Danio rerio: one gene and its partners. The protein of the gene in region 1 interacts with the protein of each later gene in a biochemical or structural test. Links are inferred from orthologs where the notes say so. Each region holds a gene or a part of one and is shown in the gene's direction. Other genes may lie near its edges.

The links.
Region 2: the proteins of kpnb1 (region 1) and nup62l form a complex in vitro, tested with the Homo sapiens proteins (2 studies listed by BioGRID). The link is inferred for Danio rerio from reciprocal best matches to the Homo sapiens genes KPNB1 and NUP62.
Region 3: the proteins of kpnb1 (region 1) and kpna2 form a complex in vitro, tested with the Homo sapiens proteins (6 studies listed by BioGRID and IntAct, with this or other methods). The link is inferred for Danio rerio from reciprocal best matches to the Homo sapiens genes KPNB1 and KPNA2.
Region 4: the proteins of kpnb1 (region 1) and kpna4 form a complex in vitro, tested with the Homo sapiens proteins (2 studies listed by BioGRID and IntAct, with this or other methods). The link is inferred for Danio rerio from reciprocal best matches to the Homo sapiens genes KPNB1 and KPNA4.

What each region holds. Positions count from the first base shown.
Region 1 is NC_133194.1:51,607,371-51,615,505, forward strand, and holds the end of kpnb1 (importin subunit beta-1), read left to right. Parts: coding exon 1-115; intron 116-622; coding exon 623-694; intron 695-762; coding exon 763-907; intron 908-1,077; coding exon 1,078-1,160; intron 1,161-1,189; exon of another isoform or gene 1,190-1,331; intron 1,332-1,443; coding exon 1,444-1,551; intron 1,552-2,311; coding exon 2,312-2,455; intron 2,456-2,724; coding exon 2,725-2,830; intron 2,831-2,909; coding exon 2,910-3,024; intron 3,025-3,130; coding exon 3,131-3,292; intron 3,293-4,597; coding exon 4,598-4,598; 3' UTR 4,599-5,610; downstream 5,611-8,135. Other genes in the region: csf3b (colony stimulating factor 3 (granulocyte) b precursor), read right to left, coding at 5,894-6,070, 6,184-6,303, 6,406-6,492, 6,633-6,787, 7,052-7,070.
Region 2 is NC_133189.1:11,190,108-11,194,074, forward strand, and holds the start of nup62l (nucleoporin 62 like), read left to right. Parts: upstream 1-1,167; 5' UTR 1,168-1,183; exon of another isoform or gene 1,184-1,267; intron 1,268-3,967. UniProt on the Homo sapiens protein: Essential component of the nuclear pore complex. The N-terminal is probably involved in nucleocytoplasmic transport.
Region 3 is NC_133178.1:24,115,690-24,124,271, reverse strand, and holds the start of kpna2 (importin subunit alpha-1), read left to right. Parts: upstream 1-3,319; 5' UTR 3,320-3,371; intron 3,372-3,468; 5' UTR 3,469-3,504; coding exon 3,505-3,570; intron 3,571-3,715; coding exon 3,716-3,856; intron 3,857-5,142; coding exon 5,143-5,228; intron 5,229-5,317; coding exon 5,318-5,586; intron 5,587-5,684; coding exon 5,685-5,779; intron 5,780-8,130; coding exon 8,131-8,394; intron 8,395-8,481; coding exon 8,482-8,582. Other genes in the region: nucleosome-remodeling factor subunit BPTF, read left to right, coding at 553-589.
Region 4 is NC_133190.1:1,646,291-1,654,162, reverse strand, and holds part of kpna4 (importin subunit alpha-3), read left to right. Parts: intron 1-655; coding exon 656-708; intron 709-1,800; coding exon 1,801-1,896; intron 1,897-1,973; coding exon 1,974-2,059; exon of another isoform or gene 2,060-2,638; intron 2,639-3,185; exon of another isoform or gene 3,186-3,425; coding exon 3,426-3,512; intron 3,513-4,503; coding exon 4,504-4,673; intron 4,674-6,974; coding exon 6,975-7,019; intron 7,020-7,097; coding exon 7,098-7,229; intron 7,230-7,872. UniProt on the Homo sapiens protein: Functions in nuclear protein import as an adapter protein for nuclear receptor KPNB1. Binds specifically and directly to substrates containing either a simple or bipartite NLS motif.

The sequences.
Region 1 (8,135 bases):
GGCGTACGAGGCTCTGATGGAGATCGTGAAGAACAGCGCGAAGGATTGTTACCCGGCGGTGCAGAAGACCACGCTGGTCATCATGGAGCGGCTGCAGCAGGTCCTGCAAATGGAGGTGAAGATCCGCTTCTGTGTCTGTGTGGAGATGAGTTGACCAGCACTGATGATGATGATGATGATGATGATGATGATGTGTATTGCTCTAGATCTGTCTCTCACTGAGCTGTATGATCTGCAGGACTGGACTGTATGATTCAAGCCTTTAGTAATGTTCAGTTCAGTAATGTTGCCTCCTGAACAGGTTTGGCTAAAGATTGAGCCTGTAGCATAACACTGATCAGCGATGCGACACAGGATCACGTCAGTCAGTCTGTTCCCCCAAACACCTGAACTTTCATTTGTCCCTGTAAATGAGCATTATAGGCCTGGCTGATCTGTGCTGATACTGTTCAGCAGAACACACACACACACACACACACAGTTGATCGTGTGTTCAGCATCATACACACTCGCTTCAGAAATACATGCCCATGTAGAGGAGCTGTGTGTGTGTGTGTGTGTGTGTGTGTGTGTGTGTGTGTGTGTGTGTGTTCTGGTTGTAATAACTGTGTGTTTTGTGCAGTCTCACATCCAGAGCACATCAGACCGAATCCAGTTCAATGACCTCCAGTCTCTGCTGTGCGCCACGCTACAGGTCAGTGTGTGTGTGAGTAAGTGTGTGTATGTATGAGTGTGTGTTCTGAGCTGTTTGTACTCCTGCAGAACGTGCTGAGGAAGGTGCAGCATCAGGATGCGCTGCAGATCTCGGATGTGGTGATGGCGTCGCTGCTGCGCATGTTTCAGAGCACCGCCGGCTCCGGAGGCGTGCAGGAGGACGCACTGATGGCCGTCAGCACACTGGTGGAGGGTGAGGAGCAACACACACACACACACACCATCATCATCATCATAGACACTCAAACTCCATCACATCTGTCGTTATTGTCATGTGATCAGAGCTGTGGTGTGTCAGTCGGTGTCCGCCGCTGTCTGCTTGGTTCTCTGATTAAGCCAGGTCTTCTGTTTGTTCTCCTCCAGTTTTGGGCAGTGACTTCCTGAAGTACATGGACGCCTTCAAGCCTTTCCTGATTATCGGACTGAAGAATTATGCAGAATATCAGGTAAAGCTGGGGCATTGCGGCGTGAGTGTTGATGATCGTTCCTCCTGCCGCTCAGAGATCATGCGGCTCAGGATTTTAGATCATCATAGAGAAATCTGAGTCTGTTTCACCCGGTGTGTGCCGACCGACGGTCTCCTGTGGCCACGCTGGACTTTGCGGGACTCTACAGCTGTAAACCTGCTGAAAATACCTGGACATAAACCATAAAGCAGAAGTGTTGAACTGTGTGTGTGTGTGTGTGTGTGTGTGTGTGTGTGTGTGTGTGTGTGTGTGTGTGCTGCAGGTCTGCCTGGCTGCGGTGGGACTGGTGTGTGATCTGTGTCGGGCTCTGATGGCCAATATTCTGCCTTACTGTGATGAAATCATGCAGCTGCTGCTGGAGAATCTGGGTGTAAGTACAGCTCCGCTCAGGCCGTGACTGCAGCACACTGCTGGACTACACCAGCTCTACATGCTCCACTGCCGACACTTCCTCTTCTCTAATGCAGAAACAGCGCTAGTCTTTCGTTTCTGTCTTTGTTTTGTACTAATAAAAGTCCAGTTCTGTTGGCGTGTTGAATAGGGCTGACGGTTACTCCATTACCTGCTCTTCTCTTTAAAACTCCTGCATCCTCACATCTCCTGGCGTTAGGGGTTATATAGTGAAGCAGCGCTGGTCAAACTGGGGCTGTTAGCACTGATCAAGCTTCGGCAGACTCTTCTCAGCTGAATGCAGAAGTGTATGAATAGTACACTAACTATGAGTAGAGCGCGAGCCGGCACAGTGAACACTGCGTGATGATGATGATGATGATGATGGTATCAGCTGACGGAAGCGCTGACGTCTCATTCGCCCAGAGCGTCAGTCGTGCAGCTGCTGGAGCTCTTCATCTGAGGAGTTTTGCTCTCGATTTATTTTTGGTTTGGGGCTCTGAAAGGATTTGCCCTACACTGAGGGGCCTTCAGCTGAGAGCCTGTTTTATTTGACAAGATGGCCATGAGGTCAGCAGGGTAGTGAGCTAGTGTGGGGAACGGCCATGATGAGCTCTGGGTCGTGTTCAGATGTGCACTAATACACCACACACATGATCTGTTCTCCACTGTCTCAGTGCTAAAGCTGCGCTTACACTAGTTCAGCATGTAATCGTGTGTGTGTGTGTGTGTGCGCGCAGAATGAGAATGTGCACCGCTCCGTCAAGCCCCAGATTCTGTCTGTGTTTGGAGACATCGCTCTCGCCATTGGAGGAGAATTCAAGAAGTACCTGGACATTGTGCTGGACACTCTGCAGCAGGCCTCGCAGGCACAGGTGGACAAGGTGAGCAGATGAACACACACACACACACACGGCGCTCAGTGTTTGACGATTGTTGTTGAACTTCTGTCTATTATCATCTGTGGTGCTGTGATGTCCTTCAGTCGTGTAGAGCAGACGTTCAGCGCTGCTCTGGGCTATCACTGATCTTAAACAGTTCAATGAGAAGATCTCCAGACCTGACCGCTGACAGCACACACACTGTCTGTCTGTTACACGAGCTGAGCTGTGTGTGTGTGTGTGTGTGTGTGTGTGTGTGTGTGTGTCTGCAGACGGACTATGATATGGTGGATTACCTGAACGAGCTGCGTGAGGGCTGTCTGGAGGCCTACACCGGCATCATCCAGGGCCTGAAGGGGGACCAGGAGAATGTGCACCGTAAGTGAACACACACACACACACACACACACTTCAGCATTGCATGGCGTGTGCGTAATGTGTGTGTTCTCCTGCGCAGCCGATGTGATGCTGGTTCAGCCGCGTGTGGAGTTCATCTTGTCCTTCATTCACCACATCGCAGAGGACGAGGACCGATCTGACGGAGTCGTGGCTAATGCTGTAGGGCTCATCGGGTGAGGCACATACACACACACACACACACACACACACACACACACACACTCGTACAGACAGACATTGTGCAGTAGTCTGACCCCTGTGTGTGTGTGTGTGTGTCAGGGACCTGTGCACCACCTTCGGGAAGGATGTGATGAAGCTGGTGGAGGTGCGTCCTCAGATCAATGACCTGCTGACTGAAGGCCGGAGATCCAAAACCAGCAAAACCAAGACTCTGGCCACGTGGGCCGCCAAGGAGCTGCGCAAGCTGAAGAGCCAAGCCTGGTGCGTGACCTCTGACCCCACAAACCTGCCTGTGTGTGTGTGTGTGTGTGTGTGTGTGTGTGTGTGTGTGTGTGTGTTAAAGCTGTTCACTCCAGTCTGAGGAGCACAGAGAGTGTGTGTTTCTCTGGCCCTCACTCTGCGAGTGTGTGACGTGTTGTTCTCCTGTGTGTGTGTGTGTGTGTGTGTGTGTGTTTCTCTGGCCCTCACTCTGCGAGTGTGTGACATGTTGTTCTCCTGTGTGTGTGTGTGTGTGTGTGTGTGTGTGTGTGTGTGTGTGTGTGTGTGTTCCTCTGCCCCCCACTCAGCATGTGTGTGACGTGTTGTTCTCCTCTGTGTGTGTGTGTGTGTGTGTGTGTGTGTGTTCCTCTGCCCCTCACTCAGCGTGTGTGTGACGTGTTGTTCTCCTCTGTGTGTGTGTGTGTGTGTGTGTGTGTTCCTCTGCCCCTCACTCAGCGTGTGTGTGACGTGTTGTTCTCCTGTGTGTGTGTGTGACGTGTTGTTCTCCTGTGTGTGTGTGTTCCTCTGGCCCTCAGTCAGCGTGTGTGTGTGACGTGTTGTTCTGTGTGTGTGTGTGTGTGTGTGTGTGTGTGTGTGTGTGTGTGTGTTCCTCTGCCCCCCACTCAGCATGTGTGTGACGTGTTGTTCTCCTCTGTGTGTGTGTGTGTGTGTGTGTGTGTGTGTGTGTGTGTGTGTTCCTCTGCCCCTCACTCAGCGTGTGTGTGACGTGTTGTTCTCCTGTGTGTGTGTGTGACGTGTTGTTCTCCTGTGTGTGTGTGTGTGTTCCTCTGGCCCTCAGTCAGCGTGTGTGTGACGTGTTGTTCTCCTGTGTGTGTGTGTGTGTTCCTCTCAGCGTGTGTGTGTGACGTGTTGTTCTCCTGTGTGTGTGTGTGTGTGTGTGTGTGTGTGTGTGTGTGTGTGTGACGTGTTGTTCTCCTGTGTGTGTGTGTGTGTGTGACGTGTTGTTCTCCTGTGTGTGTGTGTGTGTGTTCCTCAGCGTGTGTGTGACGTGTTGTTCTCCTGTGTGTGTGTGTGTGTGTGTGTGTGTGTGTGTGTGTGTGTGTGTGTGTGTGACGTGTTGTTCTCCTGTGTGTGTGTGTGTGTGTTCCTCTCAGCGTGTGTGTGACGTGTTGTTCTCCTGTGTGTGTGTGTGTGTGTGTGTGTGTGTGTGTGTGTGTGTGTGTGTGTGTGTGTGTGTGTGTGTGACGTGTTGTTCTCCTGTGTGTGTGTGTGTGTGTTCCTCTCAGCGTGTGTGTGACGTGTTGTTCTCCTGTGTGTGTGTGACGTGTTGTTCTCCTGTGTGCGCAGATCTCCGGCTGTGGAGTTTCTTCTTCTTCTTCTACCAGGACAAATGGAAATGAAAGCCCTGCGGTTCTTCTGTCTTTTAGAGCTGTGGACAGAAGTGCTTGTGCGCTGATGAGTGTGTGTGCGAGTGTGAGAGCGAGTGTAAGAGCGAGAGATTGACACACACCTTCAGTCCAGCTCCAGCAGAGGAACAGCGGCACACACCTCCACCTTCTCCACCTGCCCGCGTTCTCCATCCTGACCCGATCCTCCCCCCGGCCCGATCAGCTGCAGGACTGACCGTCACACACTGATTAGCAGACGGCGGCCGCGGGAACCTGCTGCTGGAGCCATGATGGCGTGACTGGAGTGTGTGTGTGTGAGTGAGCGAGGGCGGCGCTGTTTCCGCGTCGTCTCTCAATATTTCAACCAATAATAAATAAAGGTGATCAATATCTTGTTTGCGATTGAGTGAGCTGCTCTTGCGTTCCCTCGGCGAGCGGCAGTGGAGGCGTCCGGCCTCTCGTCACGGCTGCGCTACATTACTGGCCTCCTCCTCCTCCTCCTCCTCCTCTGTGTTTCTTTAATAATAGTGCTGATTGAGTAATGGTTCTCTTACCGGTGTGTGTTAGTATGGATGTGCGGATCGGAGCTTCACCTGCCCTGCCTAGGGAAGACTATTGCCACTACAGGCGCAGGCTCCGGCGGAGCGACGGGATATTAGACACCTCCACACGCGACTTTATTCTCCTTTATTTGTTTTGCAGGAAACTGAGTGCCAAACCCAGCGGTGCAGATGGACTTGAGCTTAATGTGTTACTCGTAGAAGATGCGAATTAATAATACACACGTCAGCGGCGGCGAGCCGAGCAGCATCCATGTGCTTTTGGTTGTAATTTTTTGTTTTGTTTTCCTCTTGCGGCACTTAATTGGAGTCATTCACCGAGCTTTTAAGAAGACGACGACGGACAGAATCAGACATTTGTATGAGGTTATATTTTTCCATTGATATGAAAATAAAGTTAAATTAAATCTTTCTGCTGTGTGTGTGTGTGTGTTGTGTCTTCAATAATGGCACATAAATGAGCAGCACACGTCCACAAGACCAGTTCAGGAAAATAATTTAATAATAAATACATTTAAATAGAACATTACAGCGCACCCACAGGGCACAACATGTGTTAAACACACAACATGTGTCGGTCAACATGTGTTAAACACAACATGTGTCGGCTACCAAAATAACAAATGTTCAAAACAATAAATATTAAATATATAAATATGTAGCGAAAGTCATGGTGTGTGTGTATGTGCGTGCAGTTAGCATTGAGACACACTGATGCAGCGCAGGCTGCGGAACACGTCCTGCATGAAGCTGCGCAGCTGCCGGAGTGTCGCGCGCACACGCACCTGCAGCTTGAACTGGCTGAGTGGAGCCGAGAGAGTGTGTGTGTGCGGCAACACCTGAGGACCAGCAGAGGGCACCTGGAGGAGGAGCTGCAGAACACAGAGCGCATTACACACCAGTACACACTAATACCAGTCAGTAATACACACACGCTCACCACTGTACACTAGTGTCAGTCAGTAACACACACACACACACTCACCAGCGTGCGCAGCTCTGCGAGGTCGTTCAGTAGGTTCTCTGGGCGGCAGGGCTCCAGCAGCTTCAGCAGGACTCTGTGATGAAGCTCCAGACCGATGAGCATCCGCTGCACACGCTCCTCCTGCACACACACACACAATGTTAGACACACCACTATACACCTACAAACACTGCACACACATGCAACATAAGTGTGTATTTACAGGTGTTAGTGTGTATTTACCAGTGTTAAATCCTCAGATTTGAGCAGCGGCAACGTCGGGATCTGGAACTCACTGGATAAAAACTCCTCAGTGGAGGAACTCAAACCCTGCACACACACACACACACACACACACACACACACACTTACGTTAGGAGAACAGCTGTTACTGTTGGAGCATCTCTAACCATGTGTGTGTGTGTGTTCAGTGTGTGTGTGTGTGTGTGTGTGTGTTGGGGGATGCTCACAGTGTTGGGTGCGCAGAGCTCCTGCACAGCTGGAATGTCGTTTAGGATCTTCTTGGCCAAACTCAAGGCTCTCAGAGTGTGTTCAGTGTGTGTGTGTGTTAGCTGTGGCTGTAGGGGCACACACAGCAGCTGGCACACACAGAGGTGCAGCAGAACTGAGGAACATGAAGGAGAAAGATGATTATCCTCCATCAGACAGTATTACTGCATTATAAGACAGAGAGCAGGTCACTGAGTCTCCTCATGATGACTACAATAATCATCACAATGATCAATAATAATAATAATCATCGTCACAATGATCAATAATAATCATCATAATCTTCACAATGATCAATAATAATAATAATCATCATCACAATGATCAATAATAATAATAATCATCATCACAATGATCAATAATAATATTAATATCTCACGGAGGCAGCAGGTCTTCATGGCGGCTCGCCGGTGCTCGGTGTCCGGTGTTGGGTGCTGCTGTGCGGATCTGGAGGCTTTTAAAGAGCCTGATTGTTCAACTGGGGAAACTTCCATGACTGATCGGCGTCGCGTTATTGCGTCTGAAGCGTTGCGAAAAACACTGACAAAAAGAAGGAAACAGTCAGTCAGTCCTCGGGGTTACTCGAGCCGGTGTTTACCGGCGGATGCTCTTCCTGAAACACCCACCCACGCACACACACACACACACACACACACACACACACGTGGCTCACCTGCACCGCGTGTCTACGCTGGCGAACACCGGGAGCGCATGCGCACTCGGAGCCCGCAGGACTCCAACCGCAGACCTGCCGCCGCTGCACCGGGAATAAACCGCTCCGTCACTCATATCGCCGTTCACACCGGTACACAGAGCGTTATTGAGCGGGGATTAAACGCGGATTAGAGCTTCAGATCCCGGGAATTCTGCAGTTTCGTCAGAGCAGGAAGCAGAAGCAGAAACCGCAGCAGCAGAGCCCCAATGACGCCCGGAGCCGCGTCACAGCCGCGTTGAGCAATCCGCCGTTTCCCCGCCACTGATGCGGGATTATTACAGCACTGCTGCAGGCGAGACTAATGATGGAGCTGTAATGAGGCTTTATGGTTATTCACTACACTTCCTCCTCCATCAATCAGTCTAAAATAATCAATAATCATGAGGAGACCGGGCCGGGTCAACAACATTTTGGGCCCCGCGGCTGCAGCAAACCCAAGGCAGGGGCCCGTGTATTTCACCACCTCACATCAGTTTTTTTTTGTAATTATTATTATACTTATTAATATTGTTATCTAGGGGCGAGGCAATGGCGCAGTGGGTAGTGCTGTCATCTCACAGCAAGAAGGTCGCTGGTTCAAACCTCGGGTCAGTTGGTGTTTCTGTGTGGAGTTTGCATGTTCTCCCTGTGTTCGCGTGGGTTTTCTCTGGGTGCTCCGGTTTCCCCCACAGTCCAAACACATGCGGTACAGGTGAATTGGGTAGGCTAAATTGTCCGTAGTGTATGAGTGTGTGTGTGTGAGAATGTG
Region 2 (3,967 bases), on another chromosome or scaffold:
ACATTATTTTGGATGATGAATGAATTTTCAAAAAAGCATTTTAATCCAAAAAGATTGTGTTGAAAAGAACAAAAGGTAAAATAAGTGAGCGATGTAGAAGATTCCCAGAAAGAGCAGGTATACAGCCTTTAAACTGCTAGACAGAAAATAAAATATATATTTATATTATAATAATAAAGCCATTTTATAATTATTTAATAAAATAGTTCTTTACTTTAATTTGTTAAGAGAGCTTTAGGGTGGCAGGATCAATGATGATGATTTTCTTATTTCAAGTCTGTAAGACTTATTTGAGTTCATATTTAGGTTATTCACTAAAATATACACTAAAATATATCATTTAAATCGTTCATGGAGATGAATGCAGTAAATAGTCTGTATAAAAAAGTTTAAAAATAAACCTGTGCAAACAAGCTAACCTTTATAACCAGATTATTTAACAAAAGATGATTACTGCAGTAAAATATTTGTAGTCTTTTAATAAGCAAGATGTGTACAGGATAGAGAGGGTGTGAAAAGTGAATTGTTTGTTTTGAAACTTTTGAATCGGAATTTGTCCAATTATAAACCCGAAATACACGTGTTTGTTGTCATGTGGTGAACTCGGCCAATCGTGTAATATCGGTGTCGTCATCAAAGCTCCTGCAGTCGCTCTTCAGAAGCTGCATGGTCTGAGTTTGCCGTCTGATCTCGGAGCGCTGTCGCGGTACTTTGATGCCACATGTGACAGTCACGTGGCGTCGGCGCAGCATCAATCCGGACAAGATTTCTAACCAGAATGCACCGCTTTAAGACAGATTTCGATCGATCTGCGCAGCGCTGCATGAAGTCGAACGCACCTAATAAAAGAGAGAGAGAGGTCACCAACCTCATCACTGTCCTCACCAGTGCCCGCCCCGAACTCGTGCACACGACCTGCTGATAAACAATTATGTTTATAGACTTTTTAGTTAATGCAAAAATAAATTAACTAACTACATTCCTTTTAAATAAAATAATAACGATTTCTTTATCATTTGATGTTGTGGCTTATTACGACCTTTTATTTTAATGTGATGATGTTGCCACATAAGTCTGTAATTTTGAGCAGGCAGAATGTAGACCCTAGACAGATGACGCGAAGGTCCTGAAAGAAACTGCGCATGTGACGGATGCTGTGCGCGGGAGCTGCTGTGAAGTAGTTGTACGTTCTTTATCATTTTACATTTTATTTGTTGAAGTGTTTTATTTCACCTTGTGATGTGTAATGTGATCAACCTATCTTAAAGTAAGTACATTTGTGATGTAATTGTGGAGAAATCTGCATTGAGTTGGCGTAACGTGAGGAACTGTCAGCTAGCTGTTATCACTGAAGTGAAGCTAAAAACATATCCGTTCTCTTACTATGGCGTTCAATAATATTAAAGAGTCTATCACACGAAATGTTCATATCTAGAGAATTGTACGTAAGTTGCTCAGCTGCTTGCAACAGTTTAGCTATAATCTTATAATAGAGCTCAGTTGCTCATCATAACGCTGTCCCCAAACCCTGAGTGGCTTACGTACACATTTTTGCAATCAAATTTTTAAAGCTCCAAGAACATTTGCGTGTTGTTTGTAATGGTGAATATCTTGACCGTGTGCGTATCTAGATGAAAGGTTTGGTACGTGTTTTAAGCCTATTCCGCATAAGAGCATTACGATCTACAATGATGAGTTAATGTTGGTTAACTTCACACATCCACAACAATGTCTAAGTAACGTTATGATGAGATAACGTTACAATTATTAATTCGTTAAAAGGGGTAAAGTTGGTTTTGTACTTGCACATTCGGACTTTTTCCTTCATTCATTCATTTTTCTTTTTGGCTTAGTCCCTTTATTAATCTGAGGTCACCACAGCGGAATTAACCGGCAATTAATCCAACATATGAGCAATTCCAGCGTTATGGATGTGACATTTGCAGTAAAGCTCAAAACATAAATTCACATAGAAATGATATGTTAACATTATATTAAAACTTCTGTTTATATTTTCAGAATTACTGACCACAGAGTTACGGGACCAGAAAAATATTGATCTGTAAACATGTTTTGTACTTTATATGAGAAAAATAAACATGCAATATGGATGTGACAAAAAAAAAGTCTGCGGGTTTACAGTAGACAACATTCTTTGTAGAAATTCTGTAAACTGCACAACCCAAACAAAACAATGCTAATCAAAAGAATAAAGAGTTGCTCACTATAGAAGTATTTTACAGTACTTTAGAAATACGCAAGAATGCATCTGTTAATATTCTACAATTTCTGACCCGTTACATCTATAACGGATAGGTGTCGTTATGGATGTGACACCTCAACTATGGAAGGACATTTTAGCTTACCCAATTCACCAATACTGCATGTGTTTGGACTGTGGGTGAAACCGGAGCACCTAAAGGAAACCCACCCGAACATGGGGAGCACATCCAAACTCCACACAGAAATGCCAACTGGCCCAGCCAAGGCTAGAACCAGCAAACTTCTTGCTGTGAGGCGACAGCGCTACCCACTCTACCACCGTGCTGCACTTTTTCCTTAATATACTTGACAAATTCTAAATAGGTAAATCATATTAGAAGTGGCTTTCAAAGTACAACATTGATCACAGTCAATTAAATAGTGCTAATGTTGTTTTGAAGTCACGCTTGCATGCTATTTCAGAGGAAATACTCAAAAGTAGCGTGGTAAACAATATAGATAGCGTGCCATAAGTTGTCACTGTTCAAAAAGAATGAATGTGCGAATATAAAATCAACTTTACCTCAATCCATTATTTTTGCTGCTCCAGCTTTATATTAATTAGGAATATATTTCAAATTCATCTATGTGTATGAAGCAGGGTTTAGGCATGGGCCGGTATAAAATTATGTATATTAGTATGATAACCTTGGATAAAAATATCACTGTTTCAAGGTATTGGGATTACTGCGCTAAAATATATTCTTTGTAAATGTCTGGGTTAAAATCAAAAACTTTTTTACCCTTTTGAACATAGTATATCTAACATTTTAAATATTTTGGAACAGTAAACATGTTAGGCCAAATAAATTGACTTCTGCTGTCTTTGTTTGTTTAAATTTAATTTAAACATCTTCTCTGCTGGAGATATTATTGTCCTAAAAAAATCACAAATTAAAAATTGTACACATACCTTAGGAACGGTATTGCAGAAAATTTTGGCTGTTTTAAAACCTTGACTTTTTTCCAACCGCTGTATACCTTAAAAATATCGTCCCATACATAGCAGGTTTTTCACTGGAAATCCTTGAATATGCTTCAATTTTGATCTAGTGTTTTTTGGTGCTTCTGTGGTGCTTTCATAATAATTTGTTTTTAAGTAGGTAATTCTAGCGAACTATTTAAATAATTAGTTTTGCTCTTGCTGTGAGGCGTTCTTTTCACCGTGCTGCTCTGCTTGCGGCAAATATACCATCAAAATTTGTCCTTGAAATACTATACTAAAGTACCACAGAATACTATAGCAAATAGTATCTGGTATATTGTAGTATGAAGTATGTACAGTATGTGTATGTGCATGTTTATATGTAATTTACCACAATTGTATCTGCAGTGTGCTTGAAAATGCTCAAATTTGACTTTGAAAAATGTGTAAGAAGCCTAACAGGATATAAAATCATGAATTGTGTTTTGCTGCCTGACTTTGTAGAATAGAACTATTCTTATAATTAAAAATGATCATGTAGATGTTGACTCTGGATGGTTCATCCTAAGATTAAAACGTCATCATTTAGTCTCCCTCATGTGGTTTTAAACCTTTGAGTTTTTCATCTGTTGAACACAGAAGATAATTTGCAAAATGCTGGTTGCAGGTACCCATTGACTTCCATAGTTGGAAAAAAATGCAGTGCTTAAAGCATTCTTCAAAATATCACCTTTTGTGCTCGAACCGAAGAAAGAAACTCTATAAAGGCTGAGTAGATAA
Region 3 (8,582 bases), on another chromosome or scaffold:
TGTTTTTTTTTTCATCATAATGTTTGCTGGTCACATGATGTTATTTATGGTGTTTACATGAATGCATGATCATATTTATCACGTGGATTGGCTTGATTAAAAGCATTTTAAGACTTTTCTTTTCAGTTGCATTGTAATGTGCTCGACTTTCAGCTGGTTCGCTCATCTGTTCGGGTTTTCATTGAGAGGTCTAATGAATTTTGTGTAGTTTTCGCAGAAAATTACGCAGTTTCAGTTGGCTTGAATAAAAAAAAAAAGGTTAAAATAGTTTTAATTCCTTTTATTAGGATTTCAATGTTGAAATAAAGGACCATGCTTTATAAACGGTTTAATTTGTATGATTTTATTTTTATTTTGTAAACGTAATCTGACTTCACAACCAATCTAAATGACTGAAAAGGCATTCCCGGTGTATTGTACCAACATGGCTGCCATTCCTTTTACTCCTGAAGCAGTCCCCCCCACTCTCTGTTCCCATGTTGCGGATTTCATATTTGTGGATGTTCAATAAAACCAAAGGGCTTTTAACCTCATTCTCTCTGTATTCTCTAGGTCTCATAACAACAAACTACAGTCATCAGCCTCATAGAATACAACCACATGCTGTTCTAAATAAACTTTGAACATTTAATTCAAGATGGAACTCTTTCCCAGTCAGCCAGCATCGCTCATAGCCACATCGTTTGGTGGAAAATCGGACAGAAAAGCTGTGGGTTTGGATCAGGAATGGACGGTTTACATTTTTGGTTGTTCAAACAATGAGTTTTGACTGGGATGCTGTCCTGGCGGATTTCTTATTGGATTAAACGCCTACAAAAATGTTTTTTTGTGAGTTTTTAAAAACCTTTCGGAATCGCGTTCGCATTATCCAGGACAGCAGGAGTCTATCATGGGTGCACCCGTTGTTTTGTTGTTTTTTTTCTCCTCTCTATTTCATAAGATTCATCATACTACTTCAGAAGTGGAATGTGGGCGCAATGGGCTTATTTGTTTTTAAGCAATGGGGTAGAACAACCTACCTAAAATAAGGAAGCATTGCTTGCGTTGAGGACTGATGAAAGTGCTAGTAGAGAAGGTATCATGTTTGTATAACTTGTCTTTTTTTTTTTTTTTTGTATTACAACTGAAGAAATATTGATGTATATGAAACAAATAAATGGAGGGGACGGGATTCTCTCTTCTACATTGATTAAGATGTCTCTATATTCTTTCCATTTGAAAAGCAGTACCTAATGTAATCCTCAGTAGACCCCCTGAACAATATGCCGATTCATATTTTGGAAAATTCATATTGGATTTCTTTTTAGAATATGGTGTATTCGTGGATAGATTCATGATCTTAACACAACGGTTCATATTTGTGTGTGGGTTGTGTTAAAAGGCGCACAACAAACCACATATTTTCTCATGTTTATAGTTGAGGATATACTAAATACAATAAACTTTTTTTGTTATATTTTTAAGTGCACTTTTTCCATCTTGGTACAGACTTTGTATGGCAATAACCATGTTCATTCTATGATTTTAGGATTATAATATTCTATAAAGTCTTTTTATTTATGTGACTTTCGTATACTTTGCATCATTTGTTTCAAAGCTAGCTGCAATCCCAGATCTATATATTCATAAACTTTAAATAGTAGTTTTAATGAACTGAATTAAATGGGGTGACATGAAGGCTCAGTGGTTAGCTCTGTCCCCTCACAGCAAGAATGTTGCTGGTTCGAGTCCCAGCTGGGTCAGTTGGCATTTCTGTGTGGAGTTTGCATTTTCTCCCCATGTTCGCGTGGGTTTCCTCTGGGTGCTCCGGTTTCCCCCACAGTCCAAAGCCATGCGCTATAGATCAATAAACTAAATGGGCTATATGAACAGCTAGTGTTTTTCAGCCAATGATGAACTTTCAGTGAAAGCTCTATGTGACTATTTTCAATTTTACAGTTTCTTTTACAGCATTAATGTTGTAATTCAGATATAATCAGTTAAATAGCATCCATTTGATTGTAAAAGTGTAAAAAGAGACGAAAAACCGTTTAAACGCAGGTGCCACCATTAGCAGCAGGCTAGCTCAGAAACTCTATTTAAAATACTGAAGTAAAATTAATTTCCATATTTTAAAGACATGGCATGGAAAAATATAGTTTAATGCAGGGCTTCTTGTTTGGTCTGATACCCACTTTTTGTGTCGTATCTCAGGCAAGCAGTGAAGATCGCTGTTTTTTTAATTTTTTTAAAGAAATTAGAAATTTAACTGGCCAATTTTGTATGGACGACAATCTCTGAGGCTGGCTGAATGAAATTAAACGTATGTGTACATTTACCCCATTGGTCGTAGTATTTGAGTGTGTATGGATTTTTCCTAGTACTGGATTGCAGCTCGAAGGGCATCTGCTGTGTAAAACACATGCAGGATAAATTGGCGGTTCATTCCACTGTGGTGACCCCTGATGAATAAAGGGAATAAGCTGAAGGAAAACGAATAAAAATGTCATTAACAATAGGCAAGCTGTGTTACCATCAACGTAAGCTGTTTTTCAAGCCCAAAGAAAGTGTAGTTTCACTTACAAGTTCTACAGTTACATAATTTAAACCGTGAAATGATACATACCTTCCACCAACTTCTATTGTTTATCATTTGTTAGCGTACAATGGTGTATAAATGTTCTGTCTCCATTCAGTAACGTTAAACACGTGGTGTTGTTGCTTCATATCCGTCAATTCTTCACAGAATTTTAAACATCAGAATGCCAAGCGCCATTGACCAATCAGAATTAAACTTAGAGCTCATTTGCCCCTCCCTTAACAGAAAAACATCAAAAAGAGACAGTATATTTTATTAAAAATGAATAATTAAGCTTATCTTACATTTACACAGTCACTGTAGTATTGTTTAAATGTGGGTATAAAACGAAACAAATATTAAATGTGGGTGGAAATGAATCCACAACCTCTCAACAACAACATATGATAAATATATTTACTGAAAGTAAAATAATCCGGCTTTTAAACGTCAACCCAATAAGTCCAACCAGGTATCAGTAACAAAGGGAGACCCAAAATATTCATGTATATTTCTGAAATGTATATTCTGAAAATGTAATGCATTTGTATCTGTTTGAAGGTCATGTATCTTTTTAAAGCCCAAAATATTCAAGTTCATAATCGGCATTCTCAGCAGATCTCGCGATAATGTGTGACCCACGTCTTCACGCCAGCGGTGTGATTTTTCAAAACGGCCCAATAGGAAGATGCTTTTGCTCGAACAGGCCAATCAGATTGTTCAAACCGCGAGTTTAAAGATCTGTGTCATACTTCCTCCTCCACAGTCCTTTGGTTGAAAGTGGTGAGTTCCTACTTTTGCTCGTATTTAAATAGTATGTTAATACCATTATATAAAGATGTATTTATGAAATGTGAATTGATTGTGATGTATTGTTGTTTTATATGTCACGGATATATTTTATTTTCCAGGCTACGACACACTGTGATCAATCAAACTCCATTAAAATGTCTGCTGCAAATGAGAACACCGCTCGACTCACTCAGTTCAAAAACAAAGGAAAAGATGCCACTGTAAGTGACCACTTTGCATTATAGATAACATGCTATAACAGAATAGCATGAAAACAGCATAAAGAGAGTCGAATGTTATTGTTACTTTTTAAATATATCGTATTTCAGATTAGCTTTCATATAAATGTTAAATACTGTAATCTAGGAGCTGAGACGTCGAAGGATCGAAGTCAACGTCGAGCTTCGTAAAGCAAAGAAAGACGAGCAGATTTTGAAGAGGAGAAACGTGAGCAGTTTTCCGGATGAGGCCACCTCTCCTCTCCAAGAGAAAAGCCAGAACTGTCAGGTATGCAGATCAGCCGACTTGCTGCTCAAGATCAGTAAACTCAAGAAATTTCAAATAAGACACTTTGGTTGTTATTACTCTACTTCCCAAATTAGCTGAGCCCCCAAAATGAATACTCTGTCATTTACTCGTCATTTTTAATTTTAACTCTTTCTAAGTTTTGTTGGACACAAAAGTATATATAGTTATTAAGAAGAATAAAGGAAACCTGTAACCTTTGACTTCCATACTAGGAGATACAAATATGGAAGTCAATGGTTAAAGCTATTCCGCTCCCTGTAAAAAAAATAATAATTTGTGTTCATCAGAATATAGAAACTCATAAAGTTTTGAAACCATTTGAGGGTCAGTAGATAATGAGTGTATTTTCATATTGGGGTGAACTATTCCTTTTAAAGATTTAAGGCAAGGCAGGTTTATATAGCACATTTCATACACCGTGGTAGTCCAAAGTGCCTTACTGTACATAAACAGAAATAAAAGAGACAAGAAAATAAAGACCAATAATAAAAGGGATTAATTTTTAAAAAATGTTTTAAGAGTTAAAACAAAAAGACAATAGTGTGATCTGCCAGATGTAGCACAGTGCTTATTCAGTAAAGGCACAGCTAAACCGATGTGCTTTCAGAATAGTTTTGAATGTACCTAATTCGGAGCTTAAATGTTGCTTTAAATATGCAAATGATTTGATTTAAAAATACACTTTTTGCATGTATCTCTACAGCAAAAATGTAAACACTGGTTCAGGTTCAAAAGTTAGTTTCAACTTTTGTTTTTCTGACGCATTAATTCAGAAAATACACCAAAACCGCTAGATATTTTTAATACTTGTAATTTTATTTTTTGAGTAAATATGTATATGTCAAATTTTGTATAAGTGCTTCTCACTGTAAAAAAAATAAAATAAAATAAACTTTAAAATTAGTAAAGTATTTTACAAAAGTACATGAGGCACAAGAAGATAGTTGATGCATATGCACAAGTTTGGCATATGCAAGTGCTGCTGGAATGGATATCCATGGCTTTGTCCTGGATGGGGGAAAATACTTTAGAAATGTATTGCAATTTTAAATCTACAGACATGTGTTGATAACGTGCTAAAATAAACCCTAAAGTGTTTTGGATTTCCTTCTGATACCCTAAAAAATGTAATATGAAAGGCCAAAGGACCAAACTTGCAATATTGAGATGTGCGTTTTTTTTTTTTTTTTCGTTTTTTTTTTTTTTGCCTGTAAGGTCTTGCCTTCAATGTTACACCTCATAAAATCTCCATTCTGTTCATACAGGCACAGCACTGGACAGTGGAGGAGATTGTAAATGGTGTGAATAGTAATAACTTGGAGACTCAAGTCCAGGCCACACAAGCTGCCAGGTAATTCCCAGTAGATTGCTTATACATGTGCAGATAGCTCTATTCATCTCAACTTGTATTTAAGCTTCATTTCTTACACTGACATGCAGGAAGTTGCTGTCAAGAGAGAGACATCCACCTATTGACCGCATAATCAGTGCTGGTCTGATTCCTAAGTTCGTGGGCTTCCTGAGCCTGGTAGACTCTCCTCCTATACAGTTTGAGGCGGCCTGGGCTCTGACCAACATTGCATCTGGAACATCTGACCAGACCAGCGCCGTGGTCCAGGGAGGGGCAATCCCAGCATTCATCAGCCTCATCTCGTCACCACATGCTCATATTAGCGAGCAGGCAGTTTGGGCTCTTGGAAACATCGCTGGTGGGTGCTAAGTAGAATATTTCAGTTAGATCCCTTAATTTTCTTTTTAATGTGGGTGTACAAATTGATTTGTTCTTTTTGTGTTTGTGTGTGTGTAGGTGATGGTTCTGGGTATAGGGATAGAGTCATTAAGCATGGTGCAATCCCCCCCCTCTTGGCTCTGCTGGCTGTTCCTGATTTGTCTGTGTTTCCTGTAAGTTATTTATATAGATGGATTTAAATTGGTTTTAAAGTTATTCTCAGATGGGTGTCCATTGTAATTTGGTAAAAATAATTTTGAGAAATGTATTTATTGCAATATTACAATCTAAGTTGGTTAAAATATTGTTGTTGTTGTTATTATTATTATTATTATTATTATTATTATTATTATACCAAATAATGTGAAGCTGATTTAGACCAATTTACAGATTGAATATCGCAAAAATTTGTCTTTTTATGACTTTTTAAGAAGTTTTAAAAATAACTATTCCTCAGATAATTAAGTATCAAAAACATTTGATAATTAGTGAGGACAACATTTGTAATTAAATAGTGAAAGGCAAATTCCGAATGTTTCAGAATTTGCGCATGAAAATGTAAGAAAACCCCAGACAAATTCATTATATTTTCATGCACAAATTCTGAAACATTTGGAATTTGCCTTTCACTATTTAATTACAATTCTTGTCCTCCGTAATTATCAAATGTTTTTGACCTGATTCTCAAGCAAATAATAAAAATTATCGGTTTAATTAGTTTTGTTCTTGTTTATTTACACTCTAAGCTTAATAGATATTATTATTATTATATTAAATTTATTATAAAGGTATACACTTAAGATTTACTTTAAACCTTGGGCTCTTTTCACAATCCATGCGCAGGGTGCAAACGCATTAGGGCATGTCAGAATCCACTTTTTCTTAAATAATGAGGGAAAAAATCCGCTTTGCGCCATGGCGCATGGTCTGAAAGGGTTCAGCTTATTTTATTAATGAGTTATAGATGTGTTTTGAGAATAAACCAATCAGAGTCTCATCTCTCATTCCCTTTAACAGTGCGTTGCATCGCACCATAGCGCATTTGCTATTTACATGACGTAAGTGGAAAAACTGAGCGTTTCACTAGCAAGAAAACAGTTAAACAGAGCATCTACAGCGCGAGAATGAGAAATGAGCCTCCTTATTAACTTTCACGTTTGTGGATAGGGAAACGTGTCATACGCACCGACATCAATTAGCCTATAAGTAATTAATTTAGTTTAAGCGCAAAGATTAGTTTTAAAACTATTTCTAAAATCTGTTCTAATTTCCAGCAAACAAATAAATGAACAATAATAACGAAGTGTGTTCAAAAACCTGAGTTATATCCTAATACACATGCTACTCCCATATGGTCTGAAACCTGACAGGTGGGCAAATCTAAGCTCGTTTTTAATTAAGCAAATATAAATATGCATATAATACTGCTAAAAATAATACATTATACATTAGCAAATTGTCATGAATGAACTGAAAAAGCCTCCCGGGATGAAGGCATGAAAGTATAGTTTTTATATTAATTTAGGCTTGAAAATAATCTTTTGTAATATTTTTAATCCTTAATATGTATTATATTTTAATTTTTCATATGTAAAGATTTTTGCGTATTGCTCTACATTTTGTGTGTATTAAGCAGTGTGTAAGCGAGGCGCACAACTAACGTGCTCTGCTGGACAATAGACCGGCTTTGTTCAGGTCTATAGAACCGACTATTATAGTTTCTCAAAATAGCAATGCACCTCAACACGCCATCTTTTTTTAGATCAGAACGCCTATGGGCGCACATATGATTGTAAAATAAAATAATTGTGTTTTTTTTTTTTTTTTTTTTTTTACAAATTTGATGACTACAAATTGCTAATTGCAACTTGTAACATTCTCCCTATAAATTTACATTTAGAAAACCTATTAATGTATTACATTTTTTTTTAATCCGTCTATAAGCTTCTACTGGTCCAGAACTCAGCTGCCCACATCATCACTAAACTCTTTTTCACCATATTACCCCCATTTTACAAAATCTGCACTGGCTTCCAATCCAACCTAGAGTCGATTATAAAATCGTCCTGCATACTTTTTAAGGCTATCCATAACCTCACACCAGCTTATTTGTCTGATCTCTTCCATATCATCACTCATTTCTGCTCCCTTAGATCCTTCTCCTCCATACACTCTGTTCCCTCTGCCAAAGCTATTTGGCTATTTGTATTTTATAATCTTCTCTTTTTTTTTTTTTTTTTTTTTTTTAAATATACTGTGGGTTTATTTTTAAATTATTGAATTGTGTATATTTGTTGTACAGTGATCATGGGTTCTTGAAAGGTGTATTGCATAAAACGTATTTAAAATTATTAGCTAAAAAAAATTAAAATAAAGGTTTTTACATGTATTATCTCTAAACCTCAAACAATGTTGTTTTTGGTGTTCAGGACTATTTGTTTTAAACTGTAGTGAGCATGCATTACCGCTAGATGGCGTGAAAGCTGTGTAGAATTACCCTGACCAGCCAGTTTTTCTTCTACAGGCTGGTTACCTGAGGAACGTCACATGGACCTTGTCAAACCTGTGCCGCAATAAGAACCCTGCACCACCTCTGGAGGCTGTGAAACAGATACTACCCACACTCATCTGCCTTCTGCAGCACAGTGACAAAGAAGTGCTTGCGGACACCTGCTGGGCCATCTCTTACCTGACCGACGGGCCCAATGATCGCATTGAGGTTGTGGTGAACGCCGGTGTGGTTCCTCGACTGGTGCAGCTACTGGCATCTGGGGAGCTGTCCATTGTGGTAAGTTGGTGGAAAGTAGTGAACTCTTGAGTTATACGTTTAAAATGGTAAATTTAATAATAACTTTTTTATTTTTTCCTGCCACAGACCCCCTCACTACGTTCTATTGGTAACATTGTCACTGGCACAGATGAACAAACGCAGGCTGTGCTGGAGGCTGGTGCTCTTCCCATGTTCCCAGCTCTGTT
Region 4 (7,872 bases), on another chromosome or scaffold:
TGTGTTGGAGTTGGAGAAAGTGTTTTCTTTGAGCAGATCTATTTAAAGGTGCAGTTCATATCTTACTGCTTGTATTAAAGGACGAAATTGTATTATTAATAATATATAAATATTAATATATTTATAGATTTTAATAAAAAGAAATTGTGTTGTAAAGAAAAAAATCTATTTATGTATGGAAAGCATTGTCAATGCACCGTGATGCACCAAGATATCAAATTGAACCGAATCGATGGCATGATAATCGTAACCGAACCGCGAGACCAGTGTAGGTTCACACCCCTAGTAAGGTAGTAGGTATTGGGTAGGATTAGGAATGTAGAATACGATCGTACTTTATAGGTGCTAATAAACAGTTCATATCTTGATAGTAGTCAGCTAATAAGCCAGTAGTAAATGGTGTGAATTGATACTTAAATTAAATGGCAATACTTTTAGTTGTATGATGAAAAACAAAGAATTTTAGCTCTATTATATTAAGCTGTAGTGTTTAATGAAGTTTTTGAGTTTTTGTTTTCTGTAGACTTGCACTGTTTGTTTATCACTCCTTTGAGCTCTTAGCTGAAAACAGACTGTTGAAGAATACATCTGATTCAGGTCATTATCGAAACTTGCATTACATAACAAAATGATTGACCATTGTGAATGTTTGCAGAATGCGACCAGTGATAACCAGGGCATTCAGCTCAGCGCGGTGCAGGCCGCCAGGTGAGAAACTGCTCCTATTCATCTCTCTAGTGTTTTGTAAGAGCTACCTTTCATTTGGCTTAGTTTGTTTGCTGGAGATTGTGCAATGGGCCGTTTAGTGGGACATGTAGCCTTTATTGCACTAAACATTTACATTTGTAAGCGACTAACAATTGCAATACACACAAGAAAGGCTGATTATACAGCTATACTGTAAGTGCTCTGTGTTGTCACGATACTGGAATTTGGTACCAATCGATGCTGATTTTTTAAAAAGGTCCATTTCCCAAGAACATTTGAGCACGTTAGAAAACACAGCCGATTTGCTATTGGGTTAACGTGCTCAACAGAAATGACTGTAATTGTCCGTGAATGTAATCGGGATACCAAACTCACTGCTGTTTACAGAGTGTAAACACCATAACGGACACTGGAGCAGTTTAAAGCCACGATTCATCAGCAGATCATTCATATGACAGCTTATAAAAGAACCAGCGGATTGATGGGACTTTGAAACACTCCAGTGTCCCTGTATCTGTGGTTACACTTGGTAAACAGCGGTGAGTTCGGTAAACTGATGACATTCACGGCCAATCACAGTCATTTCTATTGAGCACATGAACACCGTGGTAAATCAACAGTGTTCAAGAACACGCTCAACAGCGCTCAAATGTTAGTGGGAGATGTTTTTAAAACTGCAGTATCGATTAGTAGCGAATTCCAGAACTGTGCCACCCTAGTGCTCCGAGATTAAAGTGCTAGAGTTAGAAGGGAAGTTTTTTTTATTTATTTTTTAAATGGGTTTTTACAGGTGGTTTGTCAAGGCCACTCGCATGTGTGAGGCACACTTCATAAATGCACAGATATAGAGATTTTTTTTAGGTGTATTGGGAAATTTGTAACAGTGTCTGGTGCAAGTGTCAGAGATGAGTGTTTTCTGCAGGTGGTTTGTCAAGGCCACTTACCTGTAAGAGGCGGACTGTGATTTGCATAATTTTTTGAGGTTGTTGTGTAAAGGAGATAAAAGGGAGTCCTGGCTTTGTTCACAGGGGTTCAGGTGATAACGAAAGAGATTTTTTTGCATGTGTAAATCTTGTCTGTTGCCACTTGCAGGAAGCTACTGTCGAGTGACCGCAACCCTCCCATAGATGACCTGATCAAGTCTGGCATTCTGCCCATCCTGGTCCACTGCCTGGACAGAGATGACAAGTAAGACCTGTGTCATGTGATCATATGAGACTCTGTTTGGTTTGCATCTGTATTGATCTGGTGTTTCTGTTCTGCAGCCCGTCTCTGCAGTTTGAGGCAGCCTGGGCTCTGACCAACATCGCGTCCGGGACGTCTGAGCAGACGCAGGCCGTGGTACAATCTAGTAAGTTCATCTCAGCCACTGTTTGTTCAAGACTTTCGTTTGTTAGGACTTTTACATGTGAAATTTTTAACTCTGAGTCATCTAAACTCTGTATAAACTGAGTCCTGGGTTATCTGTGGTGGAATGTTCTCATCACATTCCTGACACTGCTCATACTATACCAGGGGTGAACAGTTCAAATAGTTGAATAGTTATAATCAATTTTTACAGTTAATAGTTTGACTTTTTTAATTGTTAGAATATTTTTTTATAAATATAGAAAAGTGGTATTTATAAATGTGGTAAATTTGATCTGTTTTTTTTTTGCCATGACAGCCAAAGAAGCGAGAGGGGTCTGGCTGCAGACTCGGTGCAGTGCAATCTGAGCTGCATCCAATGCTTTTTAATACGCTCACCTAACCCCACCTATCACAGTGACGTCACTCGCTCCATTGAGTGCATTGAGTCTGACATTGCATCGCTGAGTGATGCAATCTCAGCTTGCATCATCAAGGCTGCATTCAGATACTACTAAAGGAACTGAAATGGCAATAAACTCAGTTCTCTCTCTCTCTCTCTCTCTCTCTCACACAGTTAATAGTTTAAAGGCTGATTTATACTTCTGCGTCAAACACCGGCGTATGCTACGGCGCTGACGCATAGCCCATCGCCGTGGCCGTCGCCAACACTGACGTGCACCTCTCAAAAATTCTAACTACACGTCGCAACAACTCGTAGCGCAAGCTCTGTGATTGGTCGGCTTGCTAGCGCCGACGAGTCTGGGCGGGACCGAGAGCCGCGCGAATGGCGCGAGCGATTGTTTACAAGTGTGGAGTCCCGTGAAGGAGCTCCGGATGGAAAGTTTTGTTCTGTGTTTACCTCATGGTTAAAGTTGTTGCACGTCCGCCGGTTCCTGCCTCAAAATGAGCGAGTTTGAGTCACTTGTACATCCAGGAAGTGTTCAGAATAGCAAAACAGAAGCGAAGAAACTCGACACAGAGGAACATTTACACCTCACTGCCCACTAGCGTTTCGGAAGTGTTAATGCAGACCAACGGAGACAGCGCGCAGAAGTATAAATGCACAGCCACGCGCGTTGCCTGCGCCGTGAGTTGCGCCGGTCACTTGACGCAGAAGTATAAACCAGGCTTAAGTCAACAATTTAAGCAGATCAAAACCTTTAAGTTGTCCTAAAACTATTGAATGACACCTATTCTCGTCTAAGGATAGTTATTCATTAACAGACATTTCACACCATACATTCCTAAACCCTGGGTGTTACAGGTGTGAAAAGTATCTTTACCTGAGGTTAAAAACAGCGTTTCGAACGATGATTGTTTGTAAAAAGATTTGCACGTTAGGTAATGAAAGTGTTTTATTATCGCAGATGCGGTTCCCCTGTTCCTGCGGCTGCTGCATTCTCCACATCAGAACGTCTGTGAGCAGGCGGTTTGGGCGTTAGGAAACATCATCGGTAAGTGAACACTTGAATCCTAAAATCTCCATTCAATAACGTAATTTTAAAATTAAAGGAGATTTTGTGTTGTGGGTCTTAAATCATTTCAAACGGGTCTTAATTTTCCTCTGTCCATGCAAAGCTACCCAATCTGGTCAACAATCGCTTGAAATACATATTTTAACGCAAGAGTTATTTTGATTAACTTTACCAGTATAGTTTAGTTATCTTCCTTAAGTGCATGTATACAATTAGAGTTTATGAGAGAGAAATCTAAGAAATAACTAAATTAGAGTTTAGTTTTTTTTTTTTTTTTTTTTTGCGATGGAGCAAGTTAAGATCTTTTGCACTCGGCCAACCTGGTCATTAGTAAAATATTCTTCGCATTTAGTCCTAAATATAGTCTTAAAGTGAATTTAAGTCTTTAACTTTATGAAACCTGCATAAACCCTGCTGGATCAGAGGCTGGTGGGTTGAGGCATAATGTGTCCTCACTACATGCGATTTTATAGGGTATCTTTTTCATATTAAACTAAATTTTGTCCTAACCCGCTGCAACAGCGACGTGTAAAATTTCTATTTTCGCAAAACAACAGCATAAACTGCCATGATACTGATCAGCTCAGGTACTGATTATATGTCTTATTCAGTGTTAAATGCCCCAATCTGAGTTTAAATACATTTAACGTAACGTTTATTGCCAAACTACTGAAAACAGCAGCTTCTAGTTCACCTCAGATCTTGAAGATTAAATAACTAGCAGACTGTTTGAAAATGAAAGTCAGAACTGAGTGCAAACCAACAAGATTAGTTAATCAGCCCCTGTACTATTCTAATGTTAAATACTTGTTCGATTATAAACCTTACCATTTGGTTGGCAGTGCAGTGACTGGTGTTTAAATCTTCTGTCATGTTTAGTTAGGACTGACAAATTGCCTGTTGCTGGAAGCTTGTCATGTACAGTTATAACACTGATGTTGATGAATGAGAGTACTGTGCTGTTCTGCAGGTGATGGTCCTCAGTGCAGAGATTACGTCATCAGTCTGGGTGTGGTCAAACCACTCCTATCCTTCATCAGCCCCTCCATACCCATCACCTTCCTCCGTAACGTCACCTGGGTCATGGTCAACCTGTGCCGCCACAAGGACCCTCCCCCGCCCATGGAGACCATCCAGGAGGTACAAATATGATGCTTATTTTTAAGAGGTGGAAATGGCAGCATTTTAAATGAAATCAAAGCCTCCAAGTTTGTTTTAATTAGAGGGCTCATAATGGTGCTGGAAATCCTTATGTCCTTTCATTTCATTTTTTGCATTTAATGTTTGTTTTTAAATGCCACAGGAATGGAAGTAGGGTTGAAAGCGCTTACATTTGTTGTGCATTTGTCAGTAAAGCTGGCTCTGTAGTCAGCTGTGAATCTCCGGCGCCTGTGTTTACTGCACACAGCCATGGTTGTCTGCCAAACTACACAAAATATCACATGCAACATCATCATGCGATCGTCAAATCGGAAATAATTCTGCGATTAGATCGATATTTGCAGAACTTCTCAATGAACTACGGCCCTTTAAAGTAAACATTGCTCAAGTTAAAGCTGAAAGCACATGCAAATACCACACATAATGGCGTTTTTGCTCAATTCAAACTCTCCACTAAAACTATAAAGTTAAGTCTTTTGGGGAGAATTTTCCACTGATCACATCATTGTAATTCCCTCACATGATGTGCAAGACATTAGCAGCTTTTGCTAAATCGCAGATGCAATTTTTATGTTGATATATCGTTCAGCCCTAAATTGAAGCACTTATAGTTTGGGCAGCTTGTCTAACAAATGTGGCGGGCTGAGCTTTTATAATATTAACAAGTTGATTTAACTTGGGCATAATTTAGTGTTGTCAAGTATCAACTTAAGTACCAATCGCAAAAACGTTTATTTCCTGCTAACATTTGAGCTCATACTTAAACTGCACTGATTGGTTATTGTGCTCGCATGCTTAGTAGAAATGACTGTGATTGGCTGTGAAGGTTATTGGTTTACCACTGTTCACTGAGTGCAAACACTGATGCAGAGTCAGAAAGTGTTTTAAAGATGTTAATGCAGTGGTGGGCAAACTTTTTAGACCCGAGAGCCACATCAAGTATTGCAAACCAAGTGAAGGGCCACAGAAACATGTCACAATAACACAAAAGATTTTTTTTATATTATTAAGTAAAAATAATCATCGTAAAACAATGAAATAATCTCTTATATAATAATAATAATAAAGATAATAATGTAATTTTTTTTTTTTTACAGTGGAGAATAAAAAAGAAATTGTCTGATAGAAAAAATCTCACATTAACACATTAAAAATAATTCTTAAAGTTTACTATTCAGTCAAATTTACTATCTAATTTGCACTGCTTTTACAATATACAGATTAATTATCATAAAACTTGATAAAACCACAAATCTTTGATAAAATACCTTTTTTGAAGTGGTTGTATGCATGGAAAATATATTCTCACTAAAATTAACACTTTTAACCAGCAATTATTAGATAACTTGAGTCCAAATTCACATCATTTGAGCTTGTGTTAATATGCTCACATCAATCATTATAAAACTATGAGACAAAACGGAGGAAGAGTCTTCGTCTTCATTATTACAAGTCATGATATTATGAGTGTGTTAATGTGAACAATAAGCCTGGTCCCCTCTCTTCGCAAGGGTGTCAGTCTGGAGTCTGCTACAGCAAAAACGCGAAGCGCAGCAGGCGGTTAAAACTCGAGGCGTGCAGGATGCAGCAGCGCGCTAAACAAAACCCTCGCGGCTGTTAGTAAACCATTCAAAAGAGGCTCCTGAAGCATAAAGCGCGTCCGGTCATTAACGGTCGAGTGCATTTTTAAATCCGAGAGTGTTCTAATTCTACTGGCTACCGCGTGCAATACTGCCATCACATGGCGTTCACTTGTAATTGCATCATTAATTTACTAATTCTGAACCAAACCTTCTCAGAAGAAGCATTTTAAAAACTCCCTCGCGGGCGTATGAAAGTGTTCAGCGGGCCGTAGTTTGCCCACCTCTGTTAATGTGTAGATAAGTCGCATAGACTGAGGCATTGGGCGTGGCTTACTTAACCACGCCCCTCCAGCTGTCAGTTATAACAACCTGAATTGGTGAGGAGGAGGAGTCTGTTAGGTTGTAAACTTTCCTCAAACTGTTTTCTGAATTAAATCATCCAATCAACTTGCAGTAGAAAAAAAACAAGCCACGCCCACCGTTTTCTCATTTGATATTTCATTTCTTTATAAGCTGCATCAAAATATGAACCAAAAAACAATCACTGCTTCCGGTTCATGCAGACTTTAATGCCAAAACTGAAACAAAAGAGCATTTTAGAGTATTTCCATCGCCTTAATCCCCCACCATGCACTCGTTCTCTCATTTACGTCATGTCTGCTCTGTGTTCTGATGATGTCTCTCTGTGTCCGTGCAGATTCTCCCAGCGCTGTGTGTGCTGATTCACCACACTGATGTCAATGTAAGTTGGAGTTTGCTGTGATGGCGAATGCTCTTCTCTGGAGGCGGATGGTGAATGCTAACTCTTTGCTCTGTGCAGATCCTTGTGGACACAGTCTGGGCGCTCTCCTATCTCACCGACGCTGGCAATGAGCAGATCCAGATGGTCATCGATTCTGGGATTGTGCCATACCTCGTACCATTACTGAGCCACCAGGAGGTCAAAGTTCAGGTATGGATGAGCCTTTAGTTTGCGCAGGGCATGCTCCAAAGGCCTTACAGCTAAAGATATCATTCAAAAAAAATCCTTGAGTGCAAGCTACTTCAATGATAAAGACGATGAGAAGCCTTATTATTTGGGATTGCTTTATTTTTTTTATTCAATCAATCTCACTCTGACAGCCTATCTGAATCCATTGAAATATAAAAGGGCTCATGCAGTTTAAAGCTGCAGATGACATTGTGGAAGAAGCCGTGCATGCTGTATAAAAAAGTACCTCAGGTATCCAGTGCTAGTTTTTGCTTACTCCTTTGAAAATGCTTGAGTAAATAGTTAGTTTTCATTCCACTACTGCGAGTACATGATCGCTAAATTAATTCTAGATGGCTAGCAGCAGCACACTGAGGACATCTGCTGGTCATCTGAAGGATTCATGCCGAATGCAAAAACTTAATAACAAAAAAGAAACAATCAATGTTTATTTTTGTGTCTTGGGCTATTATTATTATTATTTTTTTCTTGCACTGTTGATGCAAGTTTATCATTACCTTTCTATTCATAGTTATAATTGTTGTGAACTGGCTTTAAAATTAAAGGTCCCGTTCTCTTTAAAAAAAAAAAAACTTCTCTGCCATTTTAAAATAAATTATAATGC